3 linked regions of the Alligator mississippiensis genome follow. The protein of the gene in region 3 interacts with the protein of the main gene of each other region in a biochemical or structural test. Links are inferred from orthologs where the notes say so. Each region holds a gene or a part of one and is shown on either strand. Other genes may lie near its edges.

Evidence for each region. The genes of interacting proteins can lie anywhere in the genome.
Region 1: the proteins of RNF7 (region 3) and UBE2F form a complex in vitro, tested with the Homo sapiens proteins (10 studies listed by BioGRID, with this or other methods). The link is inferred for Alligator mississippiensis from reciprocal best matches to the Homo sapiens genes RNF7 and UBE2F.
Region 2: the proteins of RNF7 (region 3) and UBE2S form a complex in vitro, tested with the Homo sapiens proteins (3 studies listed by BioGRID). The link is inferred for Alligator mississippiensis from reciprocal best matches to the Homo sapiens genes RNF7 and UBE2S.

The regions. Positions count from the first base shown.
Region 1 is NC_081827.1:187,282,566-187,289,960, forward strand, and holds the start of UBE2F (NEDD8-conjugating enzyme UBE2F), read right to left. Parts: upstream 3,134-7,395; 5' UTR 2,967-3,133; intron 48-2,966; 5' UTR 44-47; coding exon 1-43. UniProt on the Homo sapiens protein: Accepts the ubiquitin-like protein NEDD8 from the UBA3-NAE1 E1 complex and catalyzes its covalent attachment to other proteins. Together with the E3 ubiquitin ligase RNF7/RBX2, specifically neddylates cullin-5 (CUL5).
Region 2 is NC_081828.1:74,782,474-74,790,232, forward strand, and holds the start of UBE2S (ubiquitin-conjugating enzyme E2 S), read right to left. Parts: upstream 3,134-7,759; 5' UTR 2,971-3,133; coding exon 2,968-2,970; intron 1-2,967. UniProt on the Homo sapiens protein: Accepts ubiquitin from the E1 complex and catalyzes its covalent attachment to other proteins. Catalyzes 'Lys-11'-linked polyubiquitination.
Region 3 is NC_081830.1:55,992,888-56,000,808, reverse strand, and holds the start of RNF7 (RING-box protein 2), read right to left. Parts: upstream 3,100-7,921; 5' UTR 3,083-3,099; coding exon 2,905-3,082; intron 1-2,904. Other genes in the region: uncharacterized protein LOC109284208, read right to left, coding at 6,414-6,425. UniProt on the Homo sapiens protein: Catalytic component of multiple cullin-5-RING E3 ubiquitin-protein ligase complexes (ECS complexes), which mediate the ubiquitination and subsequent proteasomal degradation of target proteins.

The DNA of each region.
Region 1 (7,395 bases), on a different chromosome or scaffold from region 3:
CCCGCTTCAGTTTGCTTGCCAGGGTTAGCATAACTGCTACCATCAACCTAGAATGCAAGCAGAGAGACTGGTAAGCACTCCTCAAAGTGCAAGACAACCAAAATAGTTTTAAAAAGAAAAGTAAATAATTACATAAAGTATTTTGAGTTCCAGATAAATGAGAGTTCAGTGGTATCCATAGCATGCTACTCAGTGGCAGTAAAAGCCACTTGATAAAGCCACTAAGAAAATGTTATTTTGCAAGACGACAAATGACTGCACCCAATAAAAGCCATTAATGTTTTAGGACATGAGGTTAAGCACCGAACGGAATATTTAAAGTTGGGTTGAGACAAGTCCAGGTGTAAATATGGAGTGAACTGGCTTACAGTGCATCAGGTTCTAGCATAGAATCAATTACAGCAGAGAAATTTCAGTAAGTTTCACTCTGCTATCAAGGAAATTTCTTTCTATTTCTTTCTTAGCTAAACATACCACTTCCTGAACTTGTTATTTCTATAGAATTTCAATAAAGGAGCCCATCCAAGCAATCAGAGAACCTTTAAGAAGTTGCAAATATGAAAAGACCATGCATATCCGTAGAGAACAAGGTACAGACATCAAAAGCTGTATTCAGAAACAACTTTCTCCCAACAGTTCTGGCCACACAGAACATCAGGGAAGGGGGATACCATGGAATAGGAAGAGGTAACACAAAAATCTCCGGTCCTGAGGCAGCTTTGACAATTACCAGCATCTACAGTGAACAGAGATACCATTCTCTGTTAGGTGCTCCTTATCATTATCACAGTAAATACCTAGACAGGTACTCAAAGAGAGGCTCAAAGACGGAAGTGATATTTTGTTATAGCAGTCCTCCCTGATACCAACTAAGAAAGAGTTGCCCAGTAAGTCACTATCCAACCCCCCCTGCATAAAGTAATTTATTACATTAATAGGCAGCATACAAAGATCAGTGCTTGAAAATGCCAAAAAGCAAAGCCAGAACACACTGATAAAAAAACAACCTGATTGTAGATAATTGTTTTTTGCCAGCAGTTATGCCACCAAAAGGAATGGAAAAGCCAAGACATTGAGGCCTTACTATTCTTGGAGGGGAGGAGAGGGTTCATTCTTAAGCTGCCATATATGAATTAACTAAATTAAGGTAGAGGAGAAAAAAAAAACCCCAAGCCAGGACAGCTTGGGTCTTTACACAAGTTGTCAAGTTGAATAAAAAGCTACAGAAAAGCAGGAAGAGGCAGAATTACATATGGCCTTTAAAATATTCCATAGAAGTATGAATTTAGAGTGGAAAACAGAAAGCCAACTGAGGAGTTTATAGGTAGGGTGATGTAATCAGAACCAAAAAATAAATAAATAAATCAATGCAGTGGGAACACCATGGAGGCCAATCTGAGACGTGAAATGAAGAATCTGGTAGAACACTCTGCACATGGATGCTCCTTTCTTGCAAGCAGTTCACAAAACTGAACTTTATCAGATCCCTGTATCAGCAGCTTTTTCACCCTCTTATCACACTCATTCATACCACAAAATAAAAAGCCACTGGGGAAAAAATTTTAGCCCTGCCAATTTGGCCAAGTCCACTGTAAAATCTGAAAGCAGCAATGTGGTTCCAGACTGGGATTTACATGCCTAACTTGAGAAGAACCTGAAAGTGCTGGTGCATTTAGTAAAGGAGCATACAAAATTAAATGAAAATATTCAGAACAAAACTCAAAAAACAACATGGCAAAGACGTGCACCAGTAAGGTCATCTTAAAAGGAAAACAGTTTTCACAGTATCAGCTGGCATGCTGTACTGATAAGAAATGCAAGAAGGTTGAAAGCACCAAGACAGACAGCATCTGGTATTAGGCTACTGACTCAGACTAGACAAAGCCATGTATCCAAGGGCAAATATAAATTTAATTAAGGCAAAGTGAGGCAGGGCAGAATGAAAATTCACTGGTTCCCTCTCTGGAACAGAGGAAGGGACAGAAAATAGTCCAGGCAGCTGTGCTCCTTCAATGCAGAAAGGGGGAAGAGAAACAAGCTTGGCAGAGGTTCTACTTTTAAGGGGAGTGGGATAGAAGACCAGATAAGCTGGGGCACGTAGGCCTGGTCTTACAAGGCCCTCGTTTCAAAGCTCAGCTTCCAAATGCTGTAATTTCAATGGGAGTTATACACCTAAACACCACTGTGGACCTGGCTCCTGCTGCTTTGCACCAAAGCACAAGAGCACAGCAGAAGGCCCCTCACAGGGAGGAGTCACATCTACCAGCAAAGATACATAGGTAACCACACTAGTCTGAAGTCAGGCAGAAGGCAAAGGAGAGATGCACCTTATGGATTAACTCAGTGGTGCTCTGATTTTTGGCCCCAAGGGCCAGATGAGGGCTGACCCATGAGCCAGACCAAGCCTGACACAGGGCCGGGTCCTCTGCACCTGGATAGGGTCTGAGCCCCACGCGTGGGGATCTGCTCCTGGCATCCTGCCCCCCTTGCCAGCCCCAAGAGCCCAGTGTGGCAGCAGGGGAGCAGCAACTCCAAGTTCCCAAAGCAGGGGGGGGGGGGGCCTGTGAGCCAAATGATGCAGTGCAGGGGGCAGCTGCTGGACCAAGCCGACCAGAGGCAGGAGTGTTTGTGCTCTCCTGCCTCCTTGGTGGCGCCTGCCAAGGTGCTGAAGCAGAGCGGAGGTCTGTGCGAGCGCCCGACCCAGGGGCAGGGAGTGCCCGGGGTCCCTGGGGGGGGCGAGGCGAGAGCCCAGAGCCGCCCTGGAGAGGGAGGGGGCCGGAGGGGCGCGGAACAGAGACGGGAGCCCCCGGGAGGGGCAACGCGGGGCCCCCGACCCGGCTGGTCCCAGGGTTGTGGCCTCCCGCCGGCCCCGCCTCGGCCCGCCCGCTAGCACCGCGGGGGTGGGGGGGGGCCCCGAGCCGGAGCAGCAAGGGAGCGCAGCTGACGGCGGGCCGGGCCGCGCTCACCTGGCCGCCGCCGCCTCAGGTCCCGGCTCCCGCCGCAGCGGCCAACACCATCCCCGCGAGGCCCGAGCCGGGAACGGGCCGCGGCCTCCTCCTCCTTCCTCCGCGGCTGCAGAGCCGGAAGTGGGGGGCGGGGCCGGGGCGACGCCGCCGGATTCAGTGTTTGCAACAAGAACTTTATCAGCACGGCGCGGCGGCGCGCACACGACGGTCTCCAGGCACAGCGGACGGGAAGGGGCGAGTCTTGTCCCGTGCTGCGATCTTGCGTGACCGGCCAACACTTTCCCCGTGCTTTTCCCTCACGGGCGGGGGGCGCTGGGAGCTGGTGCTATTTAAAGGAGCAGCGCAGGGCGGCGCCTTCTGCCGAGTCACCGTGACTCTGCGTTGCCGGGCTTCGGGCGGGTGGCTGGGCGCACTGGGCTGTCTGGCTACCCTCGCCCGCGCGGGCCTCTCGCCCTCCCGCTGCTGCAGGGCTCGGGACAGGGATGCACGCACGTGAACACTCTCCCTTTTGGGGAAGAGCAAAACCCCATGGGCTGGCTCGGCTGAATCAGGAAGGCAGCTGCCTCCCCCAGCGCTGCCCCAATGGAAAGGCCGCTGCTTCTCCCGGCCGTCGGTTCCATAGTTTGGATGGGGCAGGAATCGGAAGTCGGGGGGGTGCAGCTGCACCACTGTCCTCCCGCCGGACCCACCCCAGCTACAGCCTTCTGCTTGGGCTTCTGACACCGTGCGCAGCCCGCGGGCCCTGACCGGCAGCTCCCGCAGGCTCCTTGTGTTTTGTGCTCCCCGGCCCACTCCCACTCTTGTTTTATTCACAGACTGCAGTGAACAAAAACTGCAGACATGCAACAAAATTGGCCATTAAAGTGGCTTAATTGTCCTTTTGCACCGCTTTAATGGCATTGCTATTTACATATTCAGCAGTGTATTCTGCTTTAATGGTGTTGCTATTTACACGTTCAGAGGTGTATTTTGCTTTAAATAACCCCTTGGAGGTACTTTAGTTTGCTACAGAACAAAATGCAACAGGGTGCTAGAAGCCAATGTACTTGGGCTTGGGCTTCCAGTGCCTCATGGCACCAATCCCACCACCTTCACCCACCTCCAGCACACCCAGCCACTCTCCTGCCACCTTGCTGTACTGCCCCAGGGGCAAGCTAGCCATTCCTGGGAAGTCCCAGGCAGCGGGAAGGTGGAAGGGATGGTACACAGGGCGCTGGAGCCTACTTGCCTCTCCCATAGTGGGTGGAGAGGGGGTGGCAAGCAGTCCCTGAGCTGCAGGGGACTCCAGTCCTTCCCTCCATGATAGCAGCATCTTCTAGGTGGCCCCTGCCCACTAGCACCCAGCCCAACAGAGAAAAAAAAAAAGAGCCTGCCTGCCTGAGCTGAGTGGGATCTGGTGCTGCCCTCCATGGTGGCAGCACCGCCCAGGCAGCACCTGCCTGCTAGCAGCTCACCCAGGTGGTCCCATGGGATGCCACTGCTGCAGAGGGAAGCATGGGGCCCTGCACAGCTCAGGCAGGTAGACTGGGGAAAAAAAGATCAGGCTCCTTGCCACTTTTTTTTATCCCTTCAGTTGAGCCTGCCTGCATAAGCTACCGCTGGGTCACACAACCCCCAAGATGTGTGGGTCCTGGTCCTTCCCTCCACGGTGGCGTCACCCCCCAGGTGCTAGCAGGCAGGTGCTGCCTGCAGGGCGCCCTGCAGGGAAGGGAGGGAAGGGCCAGGTTCCCCTGCAGCTCAAGGACTGCTTGGCCGGTTGCCGGCAGCTCGTCCCTCCGCCCCGCCGCAGGAGGCAGGAAAAAAAAAGGATCAGGCCCCCTCACCCTTGTACACATGGCTGAGGTTTTGTTCTCCCTAAATTAAAATGGTGGGTTTTTAAATGACACAATTAAAAACCCATTGTTTCAATTTAGGGAGAACGAAACCCCCGTCACCTGTACAAGCACCCCAGGCTACTAGGTCGGATTGGTGTTATATTCCTGGTGAGTGCCTGGTGAATGGGGCTCTGATCCTCAGCTGGCATTGGGAGGGGTGACCAGATGATAAATAAAAACTCTCTTCTTTCCTGGTAAATTGCAGGCTCTCCATCAGGACTCCTGAATAGTGTCTAGAGAACTGGAATAGAGCCATGCTATCTGGAGAATGTAGCCTATCCTTGTGAGAAAGAAGCCCTGGTGATAATTACATTCAACTCCCAGGTAGTTGTGTGAAACTGGAAGGAAGTGGTAATGGAAATGGAAATGGAGGTGTTTTGTGATGGAAGAATAAATTGATGCTGCCACAAAATTCAGCAGTTACTGTAACAGCATTTTTCCCAGCATGTATGGGACCGAATGGATTCCTGATAGATCTAGATCGCCCCTGGTTCAAGGGCTTTGAGATCTCTGGCTGAGCCACCTTAGAACTGGCCAAATAAACTGAATTGCACCATTTAGTAAACTGAATTTGTCATTCACTTGATCTATTCTCTTTTTCCCCCTACTTCCTCATTGCATAAGCATAATTTACTGTCAACAGTAAAAACAAAAGGCCCTAATACTCCCATCAGGAGCTACTTGTGCCAACTGTCATACAAATCCAAATAAGCATGTTTTTAAGAAGTGTCTGAACAAGCTAGATTGAGGGAAGAAGAAAGCACTGTTGCTCTCATTTTATAGATGAAGAATGGAAGAAAAAAAAAGATTAGGTGACATGCTAAAATTCAGTGAAGAACTCCGTGTCACAACTGAGAATCAAACCCCGGTCTCCTATGTTCAGTACAAGTTTTTTAGAGCTGTTGATAAAACTGGTGTTTTTATTGTGAGAAATTGAGCAAAGTATTTTCATTTGAACATTTTCAGTTGAAAAAGATCTACTATAGTTACTCATTTGCCCAGAAGAATTGAATCAAGATGAGACAAAGTACCATTTAAAGTTGATATTTGGAGAATAAAAGGAAATTGTTTTTACTTCTCCTCCAGGAAGAGAGCTAACATTTTTAGGTAGATTAGACATTTTCTGTATGAAGAAAATCAGCATTCATTAATCTATTTTTCAGGACAGAGAGAAATTTCAGCACAGAATATTGTAACTAGCTCTAGTATTTTGTTGTAACCTTTTAAATCAAAACAAAAATCCCATCAGTCAAAAGCAGTAACCACAGACTAAGACAGCACTTCATGCCACCCCACCCCTTGATGCTGATTGGCGGAGAGTTCCTGGCAGGGGATGGAAAGGACAAGGGGGCACCCATCATCTTGTCTGCTGCCTTTTGTACCACACCACCACGAGCTAGCAGCTTCCCTTCTCTGCCTGCACAAAATGTTTACGGTGGAGTAGACTACTTAGCTACACAGTAAATGTTGAACATCTACACGTGTGCCCCTATTAGTCTTGAGTGAACTAACTCTGCAGCAAGGTAGCACTTGTAAATATAAGTACTATCTTGCTGCAAAGTTTTTTACTCTGCAGCGGTGCATGTGCAGACACTATCCCAGCTGCCTGAAGCACAAGGTTGCTTCAGTATGGGGTCTGCCTGCTGGCTAGTAGGGCTGTGCAAAATTTTGCTGCCTGTTTCGATTCAACACTGTTTCAACTCATTCCAAGCTCGAAACAGCTAAATTGAATCGAAACAAAGGGCTTCGAAACAGCCTTGAAAGAAAACGAGGCTAGTTGAAACATTTCAAAAGTTTCAAAACGTTTTGAGTTTCAAAGCACCCAGCAGCCAGGTGGTAGGAGACAGGGACTCCCAACAGCTCCGCAGCCCCATGTGGCTCAGCTGGGCGAGGAACACAGCCCTGGCTCTCCCTACCTCCCTCAGCCGGGCTACAGCTGATCACAGTACAGGGGAAGAGAACTGAGACCCGGCTCAGGGGAGATCAACAGCAAATAGGCAGAGCCCTTTTCTCCCCAGCACCACCTGCAGTGACAAGGAACAGTGGTAATAAGCTGATGGAGAATAGGTTTAGGTTAGAGATCAGAAGACAATATTTTACAGTTAGGGTGGCCAACTTCCCAGGGAAGTGGTCCTCGTCCCTACCAGCTACCTGTTGATTACCTCCAGAAAGCCCTAAGTGGACACTGTCCTATCTGCCTTACACAGCATTAGCTAGCATACCACATGCTGGCTACAGTCTGTGCTATGGGAGAGGGGAGAAAGGGATCTCTGCTTAACAGCAATTTGGGGGGGCGCCACAGGGAAGCCAACAGACCCTGTTGTGCCTGTAATAGGGCTGTGTGAAACTTTGGGTGGTGATTCAATTCAGAAGAGATTCAGCCTGATTCAGCGGCCGAATCTCTGAATCCAAACTGAATCAGGGGACCAATTAAAAGGTCTGAATTGATTCAAAGCTCTACGAATCTTCAGAAAAGATTCAGAGAGCTATGATGATTCGGGCAGCCCCAGTGGCTGCAGCAGGGAGCTGCAGCCAATTCCAAGCCGGTAAGTACT
Region 2 (7,759 bases), on a different chromosome or scaffold from region 3:
TGTGTGGCCCGGAGGAGGTGGAGGGGTAGAAATCAACTGCAGTAGAATGCTTTCCTAGTTCTAAGTTGTCCAGACACTGGAGCAAGAGCCTGGGGAAGCCTCCCTTCCTGGAGATTTCCAGGTGGAGGATGCACAGGCATCTATTTGGGATCCAGCACCTCTGCAAGGGATTACACCAATCCTCCCTCCCCACCCCACTCCCCACCAGACCTGCTGTTCTTGCAAATCCCAGGTCCCTTGGAGTGTAATTGGTACACATCAGGCTCAATGATTCTGATCACCTTGATCAAAACCACAGCCACCCCTCCCCCACTGCAGATGACACTGGTCAACCCCCAAGCTGGACTGGGACAACACAACGGAGAAAACCAGCAAGATGCCAGACTAACTGCTGCCAAGTCCATGAGATAGTGGCAGCTGAGAACACTGGTGAGTGAGGACAGGAGGACATCCCCCCACCTGCCTGATGCCAAGGCACCCAAGTTATTTCTGGAAGGAAGCTGCAGGTAGCAGTCTCCTGCAAGCTCCCCAGGCTCAGGAAGCCTCAACTGATCTCAGCAAACGGTCTGCCTTACATCTGACACTCCCCTAAAGTCTCAGCTGAAAACTGGGGCCCTGACAAGGCTCCAGATCAGGGAAGGGGAACTCAACAGTGCAGAATGGTTCAGAATGGAGGGGGACGGGGGGTTGAAAATGGGACCAGAGCCCTGCCATCAGGCAGTCTCACTTGGACAGCCCCACACAGCTACAGGCCTGCCCCAGCAACCTAGCTCCCTCACATCTCAGTCATAACTCAGGGAGGGGGTAGAGGAAAAGGACCTATGGCTATGGACCCTAGCAAGCATCAGGTGGAAGAAGCCCCAGTACCCCCCCCATTCTCCCTCCACATCTTCCCTTACCTACCTTGTACCCCCAAATTCCACCCCCTCTTTACAACTAAGCCAGGATTCAGACTCCAAGGACTCCCAAATCCTAATCTGTTGGATCAGGTCTGTGAGAGAAACAGCCCAGCCTGTCCTCTTTGAGGAGGGAGAGTTCAGCTATCCCCCAGCCTCTGAAAAAGCATTTGGGAGAAGAAGGCAAGTCAGAAGCCCCCTTCCCACATCAAACAGGAGATTCCGGCAAAGCCAACAAAGCCTCAGCAGAGAAGTTTCGGCCAGCAGCTGCTGTTCATCCACCACAGGCCTGAGTACTGACACACTCCTGTGGTGACAGCCTGCCAACCTCCCCCCCTCCCCCACAACCTCCCCTTCCAAAACCCCCTTGTTCCCCAACCCAGGTGACCTGTGAAAATGCCAGAAGGCAAGAAAAGACTGCAGTAGAGCTAGGGGCCACTTGGAGCATCAGGAGATCTCTTAAAGAGCTCCGGCTGCACTCCATTCCCTTTTCTCTACCACTAGGCCCATAAGGGGAAGGGCCTGGCCTGGGGCTCAACCACTGGTCCCTTCCCCAACAGGAAGGAGCTGGAAGTCAGCACCATACAGAGGGGATGAATATCTCCCACTTTCCTGCCTTTTTCAACCATAAAAATACACGCACTCTAGGTGCTTGTCCCCACAACAGAGGCCTAAGACCTGGAAGAAATTAGGCCATGATGCTTCAGCTGCAGCTGGCCATTTCCAGATGCCTGAGCTTTAAAGGCCATGTAGATTTTAATAATTCAGGCCTCTTGGAAGCACCTCAAATCTTAAAACCCAGCTTTTGTTTGCAGCTGCATCTAGAAGCAAACATGCCATGAGAGTAAAATATTAATAAAATCAGGCATTACAGGCATGGACCTGGCCACTGAAAGCCCCGCTGCATGCTGATCTGACAGCCTTTCAGACGCTCGCTAACTTGCCATGTGCCCACCAAGAGTGAAAAAAGGAGTTTCATGTACATGTGCCACAAACCAACCTCCTAAAGTTTGCAAGAGCAGTGTAAAAAATCTACTAGCCCAGGCACTGGACTAAGGGGGCCACCTTCTGGGTCTCCGATTCACCTCTGAAAAACTGGACATCTCCAATCATTTTTTTTTTGGAACATCCAAAAGGAAAAAACTGCACCAAAAAAAAGATAATAAAACAGCAACTGTAGGAGCTAGGCAAGGCCTTGGAAGGAAAAACACTTCCCCAGCTACTTGCTAGAGTCTCTCTTGCAGGGGACCTGACCCCCGCCTGGACTCACAGATTACTGCACTACCCACGACCTCATTTTTACAGGGATTTGAGACATTTGAGCAGAATCCCCCACTTAGACTGCAGCAAAGTTGGGCCCAGCAGAGGAAAAAACTGGCCCCTGTGGTTTTTCTAAGCTTCACAAAACAAGAAAAAAAAGAACCAAAACAAGCAGCCAACCCACTCTATAGCCACTTTCAAGCTAGCAGTGGAACAGCAGCTTTTTAAAGGAGGCAGCCATTCTCACAGATGGAAAACAAAAAACCCGAGTCAACTTTCACCTCCAGATAAGGCCTGTTAAAGCTTCCTTAGTTTGTTTAAATGGACTCAACTTTCACCAACACCCCTTTCACCCCCAAAACCATATAAAAGGGCTGGGGTTGCTCTGTTATTGGTAAATAACGATAGCCCAGGACAGCAGATTCCCACGCCCCAAACCAAGCAGCAGACCAAGGGCTGCCAGGAACACCCCGCACCCCCCCCCCCCACACACACACACACAGAGTTACTGTTAGGCCATCCTCTGAGTCTGTATATCGAAGAGGAATCAAACACCCCAAAATGTACATGCTCCTCCCCCACACCCCAACAGCCACCAGGCCTAGCATCACATTACAGCTGCTATGACCACCACCAACACACAGGTCCCTGCTCCATAGGGCCTACCCACCTGCCCACCCCGAGAAGAGGTTAAAGTGAGGCCCCTCTTAACACGGGGGTGCAACCAGCTCCACCCACCCAAGGGCCACCCTGTAACCTGGTGGGTGGGCACTAAGGAGATGTAGAGAGAAAGGGATCGAGAGCCACTCACCATGGTGGTGGGTCTGGCTGGAAGTTGGCAGAGACCGGGGGTCCCTCACCCCCCTAGACTGACAGGCCCCCCCAAAGTGCACAGGGGCAGCCCAGCACCGTACAGAGTCCCCTGTGCACTGGGTGGGGAGAGGCAGGGTCTCCTCCCAGGCCCCCCCCTCCCCACCTGTGCCCACCAAGCCCCCCCAATCCCACTAACGCCCTCCCCCACACTGGGCTGGGCTGCCCCCTGTCCTCCACCTCGTCCGGCCCACCCTCCCCGGACAAGGCCGCCCCTTCTGGCAGCTCTCCAGCCGTCTCCCACCCTCTGCACTGAGGCTGGCGATTGCCCAGCAAAGGACTTTATAGCCTTTGGCCCCGGCCGGCCACGCCCCCTCCGAATCCCGGCCGCCCAATCAAGCCTGGTGGAACGGAGTGGGTCGCCCCCTCCCACCCCCTGTCCCCGAGAGGACGTTGACAACAAACGTCCGCGACGGGCGAAAGCCAATAGAGAGTGAGACGGGGGGCGGAGCCAGCGGGCCGATTGGAGGGATTTGAATACGAACCTCGCGAGGCGGCGGTTGAAGGGGAGGAGGGAGGCGAGAAGAGCGGAAGGGAAGGTGGGGGGAAAGCTGTTTACCCCAACGGTTGCAGGCAGGGGGCGGGGCGGAGGTTTGAAATGCTCGATCGCCAGGTGGGCGAGCCAATAGGAACGGACGAGTCCGGGGGGGGGCTCCCATTGAGGGCCGTTTCCACACAGGGGCGGGGAATAGGCCCTTGGGGGCGGAAAGGGGAGAGGGGGCGGGGAGGTACTTCCTTCACGCATGAGAATGGACAGGCTGGGCAGCCATTCAGGGATGAGGATTCGGAGCGCTCCCCCCCCTCATTGCTGTAGTTGCGGGCTCGGGAACTGGAGTGTCAGTGCAAGGGGGAGGGGAGGCGGGAACCTTAGGGTTAGCCCGGCCCCGCCCCTGGCACTGGTGCCCCGCGGGGTGTGAGCTATGAGCTTTCCTGTCCTCAGGCTGTTCCCTGGGGTGCCCCAGCTGTGGGGGCGAGTTGATTTGGGGGATGTCACCCCTTCCTGTCTGTGCATCCCACGGGGCCAGGCACGAAGGCCTGAGGGGGCAGGGCTGGAGCCCAGGGTCTGGGAAAGATACCCAAAGAGCAGGGCTGAGGATGGGGGGCACCCACACTCACAGCAGGGGAGAGTGAGGTCAGGGTTTACATTGTTTCCTTCCAGCTGTAAGCCCACAGGGTGGGCGTTTTGCTGATTCCTGTGACCTTATAGGGTTGCCAACCCTCCCAGCTTGGCCAGGAGTCTACCAAAATCGGCATAGATTTCCCAGTGACTATTGAAAGCAATCGGGGAAATTGATATTGTTAATGGTTTGAGCAGTACAATTACTGATATCATGTTGGGGAAAAAAAAATGGAATAGCTTCAGAGTTGGCAACCCTATGACCTTAGGGATTGGAGCCTGTGCCCAGGCTATGTGCATCCCAGGTGGGCCAGCTTCAGCCCGTGCTTCCACTCGCACACTATTGTGTCACCAGCCTCAGACATGCCCCACCCCAGATGGGTCTGTATCTCAGTGCCACTGTCAATGAATACGGAGGCCAGTAGCAGGAAACATCAGTTTATTCAAAAAACAGGGTTACAGCAATTCCAGGGACTTGCAGAACAGCCTCTAGTACTTGTTCAGACACGCTGTGTGTCCCTGTCCTGTGGGTCAAGCTTGGTGCCCTTCGCCTGGCCTGCTCTGTGCTCCTCTCCCACACTTGCTTTGTGGTGTGATTTTTTCTGCGTGTCAGTTCGTGTGGATTTACCTGAATTGTTTCTGACACCGGCAAATCTCTGTGCAGTGCAGGGCTGGCAGCGTGAATGTTTTCATAGCAGCACAGAGTACATGGAGGAGCTGAGGGGTCAGTGGCACCCTGTTCCATACAGTCTGGACTTGGGGAGGAAGATTGAGTGCCAGTGTGGCACCACCCCTTGCTGGTTTGTGTGGCAGTACCCCTGGTTGTGTGTGTGTGTGCAGATGCTGATCCAAACTACCCCCTGGTAGTGTGTGTGTGGCACTCCCCCCTACTATTGTGTGTGTGTGTGTGTGTGTGTGTGTGTGTGTGTGTGTGTGTGTGTGTGTGCAGATGCTGGTCCAGACTGGCTAGATTCAGATTATGTACATGTCTATGTGCTTGTTTGTGGAAACTGCCCTATACTGGCTAGATTCTTGGGTTTGTGTGCATGTGCATGAGAGTGTGCGTATGAACACTACCCCATACTGGTAGATTTAAATTGCATGCACGTTCGTGTGTTTGCATTTACACACACGTACTTGTGTGGACACTACCCTACATGAGCCTAATTCAGCCTATGCATGCAAATCCGTTTATGTGCATGCCTGAGTGTTCATATGCGTGCGTTTGTGTAGTGGGGCACTGTCCTCTGCTTGTCTAGCATAGGAATTGTCCTCCTGCCCACAGCTGACCCTGCCTTCCCAATGGCTTCTGGGAGCTGCCTCAGGGGGAGCAGGGCATTTCCAGACTCTGCTTTGCCCTGTCTAGATGAGGCAGGGGGCCACTGAGGGTGGCCATAAGCAGAGCTGTCCCTAGTGGTGTGCGGAGTCCAGGGCATATCAGCCTGTGTGGGGCCGGAGGGTCGGGGTGGTAACTGCCCGCAGTAGCCAGTGGCAGCATCACCAGTGGGGCAGGAAGGGGGATGGCAACCGCCCACAGAAGCCAGCGGCAGCAGAGGGGAGGGAGGTGGCAACCACCTGCAGAAGGCGGCAGGGCCTGTATGGCACTGCGCAGGGCCCCCCAAAACGCACGACCCAGGTTGGTCACCCTGATTTACCACCCCTGCCTTCCCCCCAGGGACGGCCCTAACCATAAGGCACGTGAGCCGATGCAGGAAAGGGGAGGAAATGATAAGTCATCCAACATCAGGGGTGAGGGATGAGAAGGGATCCCCTCAACACTGCCCACTGGGGACACCCTAGTCCCTTTTGCTTAGGCTGCAGGGGCTGCCCACTCATGGAGACCAGGGGCTGGGCAAGATGGGCCTGTGTCTCCATCCTGACCCTTGCTTTTCCACAGGCCCTGAAGGGAAGTCGAAGGTCTAGGCAACTGTGCCCAGCAAGCACCTTTGGAAGATGCAAAAAAGAGCCTGGTCCCCAGTGGGTATGAACAATCCTGATGCCCCAGCTACAGGGAGGAGGTGTTGTGGGACCAGGCAAGGGTTTCAGGAAGCACCAGGTAGGTTAGTAGAGGGTGCTGTGCTGCAGGAAAAGGGACAGGGGACTTATGCCATGGGGTGTGGAATGGGGTGGGAAGGTTGGGTGATACCTTAGAATGGGGAGTGGAACAGGGGGCTCAGCAAAGAGCACCATACTGCAGGGGGGTGTGAGCTCTTTTCTGTCATACCAGGGAAGCATGCAGTGGAGTGCAAGTGTGTATCAGCTAAACCATTTGGTCCCTGGGGCCTTTTACTGCTGGACATGTTTGGAACATTGTTGCTAAGAATTTACCTCCCTGGGATTTAGCAAACTCCTTCCCTAGTGTGGATTTGTCTGAACCCAAGGGCTTGCTCATGAAGAATGGTCTGCATGCTGTGGCCTGGGGTAAGCTCTCATGTGGATCATGCTGGCTCCCTGCCAGGCAGGAAGGCCCTTATGTGCCTTCCTGATTTAGATGCAGCAACTGCACTGGGCTTGTCAAAGGAAGAGAAGGGATAGAGGAAAGCAAAGAGCAGTTGAGTGGTAATTTGCTGTGAATGAACAGCAAGCCATGAACAGGTAGGTGCTACTGACTGGTGAACAGGAGCTAGTGACTGGTCTATGGGGGTGAGTGACTTGTGAACAAGCCATATACACTGACTGGTGAAAGGGTGTTAATAACTTGTAAATGACAAGACACCAGGGGTAACTTAAATAATGTGCTATAGAGTGCAAACATCAGCAAACAATGAGCAGTGAATAGTGAATCACATGCAATGAATGGGGAATGAGGAACAAAAGTCCCTAAAGGGCAGACAATGGCAAAGTCACAAGAAGACCTGACAGGCTCCTGAGACCACAGCCCATGGCCATCAGTGATTGTTGGAGAGTGAAAATTATCACCCAGGAATGGCATCCAACAGCCTGTCCAGCAAAGCAAATGGAGTCTCAGGCCAAACCTAATACCACTGCAATCTTGGATAGACAACTGAAACAGCCAAGAGTGATGAAGCCATGGTGGGCAGTTATAAAGACCACTAGGCATGTCTACACGTTTATTAATGCGCCGTAGTTACAGCACATTAAGTTTAGTACTTGGTTAACCCCAAGTACTAAATCAATGCTCAGTAACTTGCACTACTGCACGGTAGTGCTGGTGCACCAGTTTTTAGTGATGCTTACTGTGCAGTAGCCTACTACTACTGTGCAGTAGCATATTAGCGCAGTTTCTGCCTGGAAGGCTACTGCACAGTGTTATTAGGCTACAGCACAGTTAGCGTCTTGTATAGATACACCCAGTGAGTCAAGTAAGGAAAGGGTGGGGACTAGGAGTAGGGAACAGGGAATTGTAGTGACCACAGGATAGAAATATGATAGGAAAGAACAGTGGGTAGTGAATGATGCTTTAGGTTTGGTGAGTGGAATAAACTGTAATAGGTAAAAATGAGTGGAAGTTGCCACCTAATTAATGGTGGATGGTGACTGGAGATTCCTAATTGGTTCCTGATGAGTAGAAAGTGACAAACAATTACCAGTAATGGTAAGTACAGAATAATGAATTGTGATGTGTGAATAAATAGGATTGGATTACAAAGAGTGA
Region 3 (7,921 bases):
GGGGACTGGACTACATGCTGTGGGCCTGCGGCCGTAATTATAAACTACAACAACCAAAAAAAAGATAACTAGTAATGTAATTTCTCCTTTATTGGTGCTGATCCCATAGACAACCAATATATTGGTGCACCCCTAATTAATCTTTAAAAAAAGTCAATTTCCACATTATGGGATAATGGGGTAACATTACTCTTAAATGCGCTTCACATATGGAAAACTTTAACAGTAACTTGGGTGCATGTATGTGAATTTAATACTTTGAAGGGTTTGGGATTGATAGCCCTTGAAAAAGAAGCATATACACCACTGGTCTCCAACCCTTTTAGGTTAGAGATCACTTTTGGAACTTAAAAGGAATGAAAGATCCCCTCCCACCCAGCAGATAAGTCTGTGGGGAGGGGAAAGGGCCATGGGGGGGGAGACAGATCAAGACCCCAGCCCTACCCCACTCCCTCCCTCACCACTGGGGCCTTGACTGCTACCTCCCCCCACCCAACAGCGGTGAGGGAGGGGCAAGCCCTGCATAGCTGGAGCAGGGCCAGAGACAGAGCTGCGAATGGCTTATCCAGTGGGCACAGGGAGAGAGGGGGCATGCAGCCCGGGAGGGCAGGTGGTTGCGTGCCCCTGGATCTGCATGCAGGGTTCTTCATGGCTGGGCTACGCTATTGCAAAGAACAATTTTTCTAACTATTTAGTTGGTCTAATAAAAGATATCACATCTAACCAAAGAATCTTGTCTGCCTAAGTCCTTAGACCAACACAGCTACAACCAATAATCCTTACTGATATTTATATGCTTTTGCATAACACTGAAATCTCTGGATGCAAGGAATTGTATACAAGGGCTGAAAATGTTATTTACTATTTACTGCCCTTACAATGCAAAGGATAGTTCAGTTTTCCACACCCACAATCCTCAGCCCTTTTACTGAGACTGATGATGCAGGCTACCTACAGAGATTTTTGTGATGTGAATATCTGCCTAATGCAGTTAGTTTCCGTACTGCTTACCAATGATACAGAACACTGAACTAGAACAGTTAATCCTGTCCTAGATGCACACGACCTAGAGATGAAATTATATTCAACTGCCGTGTTGTCAAAATCTTAACAGAGGGCTGTCCAACTAGAAGCTTAAAGGCTACATGCAGCCCCCAAGGAGTTAACCAGTGGCTCCCAGTCCAGGAACCACTCCCCTCATTGCTCTCCTGCTGCTGCTGCTGGGATTTCCAGGCTCCCCCTTCTTCCTCCAGCTTCTGCTACCTGTCCCTGCCCCCGGGGGCAGGGTGTCACAGGGCCACCTGTGGGGCTAAGCAAGTCCATGGCCAGTGCAGCATGGAGGTGATGGTTAGACTTACCAATTTTTGCTGGCTGGTTGCAACATCATGAGAAAATTCTGTGGACATTTTGCGGATGTGCTCTGGCAGCCCCACCCCTTGGCACTGATTGGTGGGGAAGCCCTAAGGGGATGGCTGCCAACTTGATTGCAAGCTGTCCTTTATGTGGCCCTACACCTCAGTACTGATTGGCAGAAAGAATGAGGGGACAGTGGACATTTTTTCTGCTGCCCTTCATTTTGCTGCCCCCACCAGCCAGTGCCTTCCCCTCCTGGGTGGGCTGTGAGGCTGGGCTACTACAGCGACAAGGACTGCTAGTTCCCACTGGGGAGCCAGCATTTTATTTTTATTGAGGGTTTTTTTTCTGGATTTGGTGAGCACTCCTAGATTTCGTGGTTTTTGTTAAATCTGCAAAACGGTGATTTAAGTAGACCCCCTATTCTTTGTGCAGCTGGAGCAGGGGAGGACACATAGCATGAGGGGGGTGCCCACGTGGCCTGGACAGCACATGGCCAAAGAGCCCATGGCCCATGACCACTCAGAAGTTCGACAGCCCTGTTTAGGCCATGGTTGCACTACTGTTTTCAGCAAGAGCAGGAGCCATGTGGTCCAGCTCCTTGGGAAGGGAAAAGTACTCCAGAGCTGTAAAGAGGCAGAGGGACCGTACGTACCATGGTGTGCAATGATGGTTCTCAACCTTTGTGGACAGGAGCCTGCATCCCTGCTCGGACAAAGCGTCCGCCACAGCTTTTGTGAATGGAGCAGCACCACATCTCAAGAGCTGATGTATGGATGCCAGCACTCACCTCCTTCCCCAGGGGCTGGTCAGTGGGCTTGGGGGCAGTACCATACCTAGACCCAGGCCCGGGCAAGCTTTTAGTATCGGGCCCCCCTTTTTGCCAGAAATAATGATAATCATAATCGGACAATGGGAAAAAAGCTACCATTTTGGGGCCCTGGGCAGCTGGTTCACCCCTGCCTGTGTCCAGGTCTAGGTGGGGGATGGTCCAGGAAGGGACAACCCTGGACCTGCTTATTTGCTTAGCTTCTCTGCTCATCTCCTCGCACCTCACAGCACCATTCAAAGGATCTGGCACCCCAGGGTGCCTCATGGCCCCGGCTGAGAGCCCCGGTGGAGAAAGGCTTTGTATCCCCAGAAACTGAATGCAGGGGAGACCCCTGATGATCCAGGAGCGACTGTAACTACTCCACAGCCAAATGCCATCTACCAGGGGAGGCACTGCCCCTGCTCTCCAGTCACCTGGACACGGGTGGAAGGGAGCCAAGCCCTGCAGACAGCGCAGGAGGCTCTGGTACCACGGAGCGGCCAGGGAGACGCCAGCGAGCCGGGCTCTGGGTTGCTGGCATCACCTGCGAAGCCGACTGGGCTCGAGGGAGGCTGGCTACGGCCCGCGGCTGCCCGGGGCCTGGCTGCGCCCGCAGCTCTCGGGGTGTCCCCGCCGCGGGGCGGGGCGGAGCGGGGCGAAACGCGGCCGCCGGGAAAGCCGCCCGCCCGCCCGCCCGCTCGGCCTTCTCCGGAGAGCGGGCGAGGCCCGGCGGCGCTCACCCATGACCTGCACGCGGCAGATGGCGCAGGTGTCGCACTCCACGTCCCAGCTCCACATGGCCACCGCGTTCCACTTCTTGAGCGAGAACATCCTGTCGGCGCCGCCCGGCCGCGAGCCCGCCGAGCCCGCCTGCGCCTGCGGCCCGCCCGCCTCGTCCGCGTCCTCCGCGTCGGCCATGGCGGGGGCGGGCACGCCGCGGCAGGGGAGGTGCCAGGCAGGCCCGGCGCGGCGGCAGCGCCCCCCAGCGCCCCGGCCTCGCTGTCCCGGGCCGGCGCGACCCGGAGCCCGGAGCCGCGCGGCCTCTCTTGGTGCGGGCCGAGCAGCGACGGGCGCGGGGAGCGGCTCTGGCCCCCCCGCCTGTGGCCCGTAGGCACGGCCGGGCCCAGGGGACACGCTCCCCTTCGCCCCTCGGGCGGGCCCCGGGGCATGAGGCGGCGGCAGCGCCGGGCCCCAGCGCGGCCTGGCCGCGGGCAGCTCCTCGCCGCCGCCCCCCGCGGGCAGGGCCGACCCGGGGCTGAAGCACGGGTGCGCCTCGGCATTGCCGGCTCGCACGGGCCTTTACTTAAACACCACGCTTCGGAAAAACTTAGGTCTTTCTTTTCCATGTGTTTATATATAGAGAGAGGCTAATACTAATATATATTACTAATATATGTGTATGTGTAGAAAAGAAAGCTAAGTTTTTCTATATAGCTAAGTGTGTAGCTATACATTTCCTAATACTAACACACGCACACACACAGAAAAGAAAGCAAAGACTTTAAGAACAACACCAAAAAGGAGAGTTGGCAATACGGGCACCTGCGCCTCTCCCCTCCGTCTAGGCAGATAGAAGCTTTCTGGCTGGAGCTCACTTCACCATCTGTGTAAAGCCACAGCTTGAAGCCTGCAAGAGGGGTCAACTTGAGCACCCCAAGGGATGACAAGGTCCAATGGTCACAAACTCCTGCAAGACTGTTTTAGGCTGGACATAAGGAAAAACTTTACTATCCGAGCCCCCAAGGGCTGGAATAGACTCCCCCCAGGGGTGGTGCAAGCACCTACTCTACACCTTTAAAACACACTTGGATACTTATTTTGCTGGGATCCTAGCTGACTTCCTGCCCCTTGGGCAGGGGGCTGGACCCGATGATGTTACAAGGTCCCTTCCAGCCCTAATGTCTGTGAAATCTGTGAACTGTGAACCAGAGGACACTGGGGTTGGAAGCGACCTTCCCAGCCCCCTGCTCCTTGCTCAAAGCAGCAGCCTCAGCTTTCTCAGCCCAGCCAAGCTTTGTCTTCCCCAGGTCTTAAAAACCTCCAAGAATGGAGATTCTGCAGTCTCTCTGGGCAGCCCCATTCCAGTGCTTCACTGCCCTCCTAGTGAGAGTTTGTCCTAATACCTAACCATGGGGTGACAAATCACTTGGGCTGGAGGACCACTTAGGGAGTTTTCGTGAGCTGTTGCAAGGTGGTCAGTACCCTGTTCCCAGCCCCATGGTCTGCAACAGCTCACCAAAACTTAGGTGGCTCTACCCCAGAGCCTGGCCCCATGCTGTCATTGCCCTGGCCCTGGTCCCTGCCTGCCTGTCCTGCTCCTGGACAGCATTTCCCGCCTACCTGCAGCCCTGTCTCGTCCACCCAGCTGAGCACACAGCCTGTGTGGGTCTCAGGCTCCATGGAGACCCCCATCTGCCCACTCCATCTGGTACCCCGATGGTGGGTGCAAGGCAGATGGGCCAGGGTGCCTGGGCAGTGGGGCTGGGTTTGGTGATGGCAGTGGCTGAAAGGAGCTGCAAAGTGAGTCTGGCCACTGTGTTGCCCCTGTCCCGCTGCACACCAGGGAGAAGTGGGATCAGCAACATGTGCTGTGGCTTGAGCTGCCCCTGGCCCTTGGGCCAGGCGGAGCCAAGGAACCTGCTGCAAGCCAGATAAAATTCCTTGGTGGGCTGGATCCAGCCTACGGCTGTATTTTGCCCACCCTTATTGTAGCTTAAACTTCCCTTCCTGCAACTTGAGACCATTGCTCCTTATTCTGTTATCTGCCACTTCTGAGAATAGTCTAGCTTCATCCTCTTTGGAATGACCCTAGTTTACCATGAACTAGAGTAAACTAATCCCAATATCAACATCTACATGTATGGTTAAGCGCAATAATTACTCTGCAGCTGGATAGTACCTGTGTCAGACAGGACTATCCAATGGCACTGTAAATTAGTGTTCACCAGCCCAATTGCTGCACCTGTGTAGATGGGTGATGCTATACTGCACTTGAAATTAGTCTACTTGTGTAGATGTGTGGATGCACCCACTAAGTAAACCCATTTCCCTGACCCTTTCCTCCTAAGTCATGTTTCCCAGCCCTCTATCCATTTTTGCTTTCCTTACTTTTCTTTTTTGTGACTGATTTGGAATAATCCAGCTTTTGTCAGGGAGGGTATATTTAAAAAATAATATGAACACTAAACAATAATTTGAATAATTCTTCATTCCCTTTGTCACATTTGCATCTTTCCCATGAGAGAAGCTGGTGATGCTGGGAAATGGTGACACCAATTGCACACAATGTTTTTGTGTGTTTGGTAAAAATTATAAATGTTTTGCTAAGGTTTTTAAGTTACTTGAGTTTATTGCTGGGTTTTGTAATTCTAATAATAGTCTCATCATTTAAAAGGCCACTTCCTAGCTGACTCCTGCCCTGTAACTGGCAGAGGGCCTATCACCAGTCCATGTAGGATCAGTTGTGAAATCAGAGCTGTAGAGCGTTAATACAAAATTCATACCACATTTGGTTATCATTGTAAAAAGTTCCATAAATTAAACCTAGTCTGCTTTGAATATTTGATCGTTGAGGTAGCAGCTACTTCAAGAAGTCTGTTTTGGACAGAACATGTGGCAGTGTCATTCTTCCCTCTTAGTCTGCATTCAGCCATCAGCATTTAACTGAAATATTAAATCAATGTCCTCTTTTCAGGCAGCAAAGCTCCCATAGGAAAAAGGGTGTGTTTGTTATGTTCCTCTAACTTAATTAGAAGCTACTTACGCCTAATTTACTAGATTGAATGAGAGCAACTGATCTAAATTCTTTGCACATTCTAATGTTTTTAACATTGCTTGCATTGGTACACTGGAACTCCTGGGAATATGTTCTCACTGTTTTCTTTACTAGACAATGAACCAACTGGTCATTTGTAATCAGTGTGACTGATGTATGTGCATAACTTCATTTATGCCAATAGGAATTATGCAAACAAAACACAATTTTCACTTGAGTTTCTCTATTTTACTATTATTCTGCTTTAAAACAGCTGAATGTTTGTCTTCAAAGATGTATAACCAATGGTAAAATACTTTGTTTCATACAATAATGTTTTGTATTTTATTCCTATATGATGGAGTAAAGTGAAAAAATTACACACAAAAATTGTAGTATTTAGAAAGTCAGAGTGCCATGTTAAGAAATAATCTGCTGAAGTATATTAATTTTCTTGTACACAGTCCCATCTGCAGGAACATGTAGGCTTAACAATCACTTTGTTGTCTGAAAGAAAAAAGGTAATGAATATAAATATACATTTTGTGTTATGTGCATGATTGGCTGAAATGTATGACATATGGAGATCTCAGTCTCACAAACACTTATGTAATGTGCATGAAAGTTAAATGCATTTAGTGGCATAATTTGTTCATGAAGTGTTTGAAGTTAATGGGAAAGGGCAACTGTTTTCAGGTTCATTTTTTGTATTTTAATTCTCAAAGCATGATGGTCTTATATTGATTTAAAACAAAATTTTAACAACATGTTCAGAATAATTTTGTAATATCTGGTTCAGAATGATTTTAGAATGAAAAGCATTTACCTGTGATAACATTTTAAATAATTAACATAGAAATATATATATATTTTAAACTGTGTTCCTTTCCAAATTTTAAACACTGATGTATATGGGCCTTCTGATCTGCATGCACAGATTCCTGGGTCTTTGCTGATTACCGTGGACTTGAGTGAGTCCATGTAAAGAAAGAATGCAGAGTCAGATCCTAATGGCTTTCCCACGTTTGGAAATTTATCAAAGTAACTATTCTTGAATAATTAAACTGTTGTAAATCAAAAAGCTTTTAGAGGCTAACTTGGAAATAAAGTTGACCGCCTTGGGGTTTGTATCAAAATAACTATTCCCACATAGTTATTCTGGAAAGTCTTTTGGGAAAATTCTTAATGTAGATAAGATTGTAAATAGATTACAATTTATCGGTCACTCTGCTTAGACCAGTGATTCTCAGTCAGGGTCCTGCAGCACCCTGGTGTACCCTGAGTTCCTTGCAAGGGTGCCAAGGTGTGGTACACAATGTTAGTACTGTTAGGTGTGCAAACATGGGCTGCATGCAGATGTTAAAAAAAAAAAGCGCTTTACCAGAAGAAGCAGCAAGTTACTTCAACCTTTTGCTCCTTAGTATCTGTATAGATTGGGCACTTCAGTAGGGCTTTTTGGGCTTTTATCTAATAGGAGAGTCAATCAGCTATTAGATAAAAGTGCCAAAAAAGCCCCACTAAAACAACTGTTCTGTACAGACTTTGGTGATCTGGGTCCAACTAACGCAGTGTACCATGCCTTCCCCCATGGCCCCATGTCCCATGCTCTGGGATCTGTGTGGGAGCATGCCAAGTTTAAAGTAAAGCATTGTTTTTGGGGAGGTTTGGGGGTGGGGGTTTAAACATCTGCAAGCAGCCATGATTCACAAGATGAACCCAGAGATTTCAAACAGGAGTCCATAGTGTTAAAAAATTTCTGATGTGTCATGGTCCAAGTTCTTTGCAACAGAAAAAATGCTCTATTATTTTTCCATAGTAAAAATAAACCTGTGAAAACTAAGAGCTGGCTTTTTCTGAAGGGTGCTTTGAGATTAATGAGGGGTGTCTTGAATTTAACGACGTTGAAATCCACTGGCTTATACCATATAGACAAAATTAATCTAAGCCCTTTTTTGATTATGATATACCTATATTTATCCACATCCATGACAACTTTGAATTTA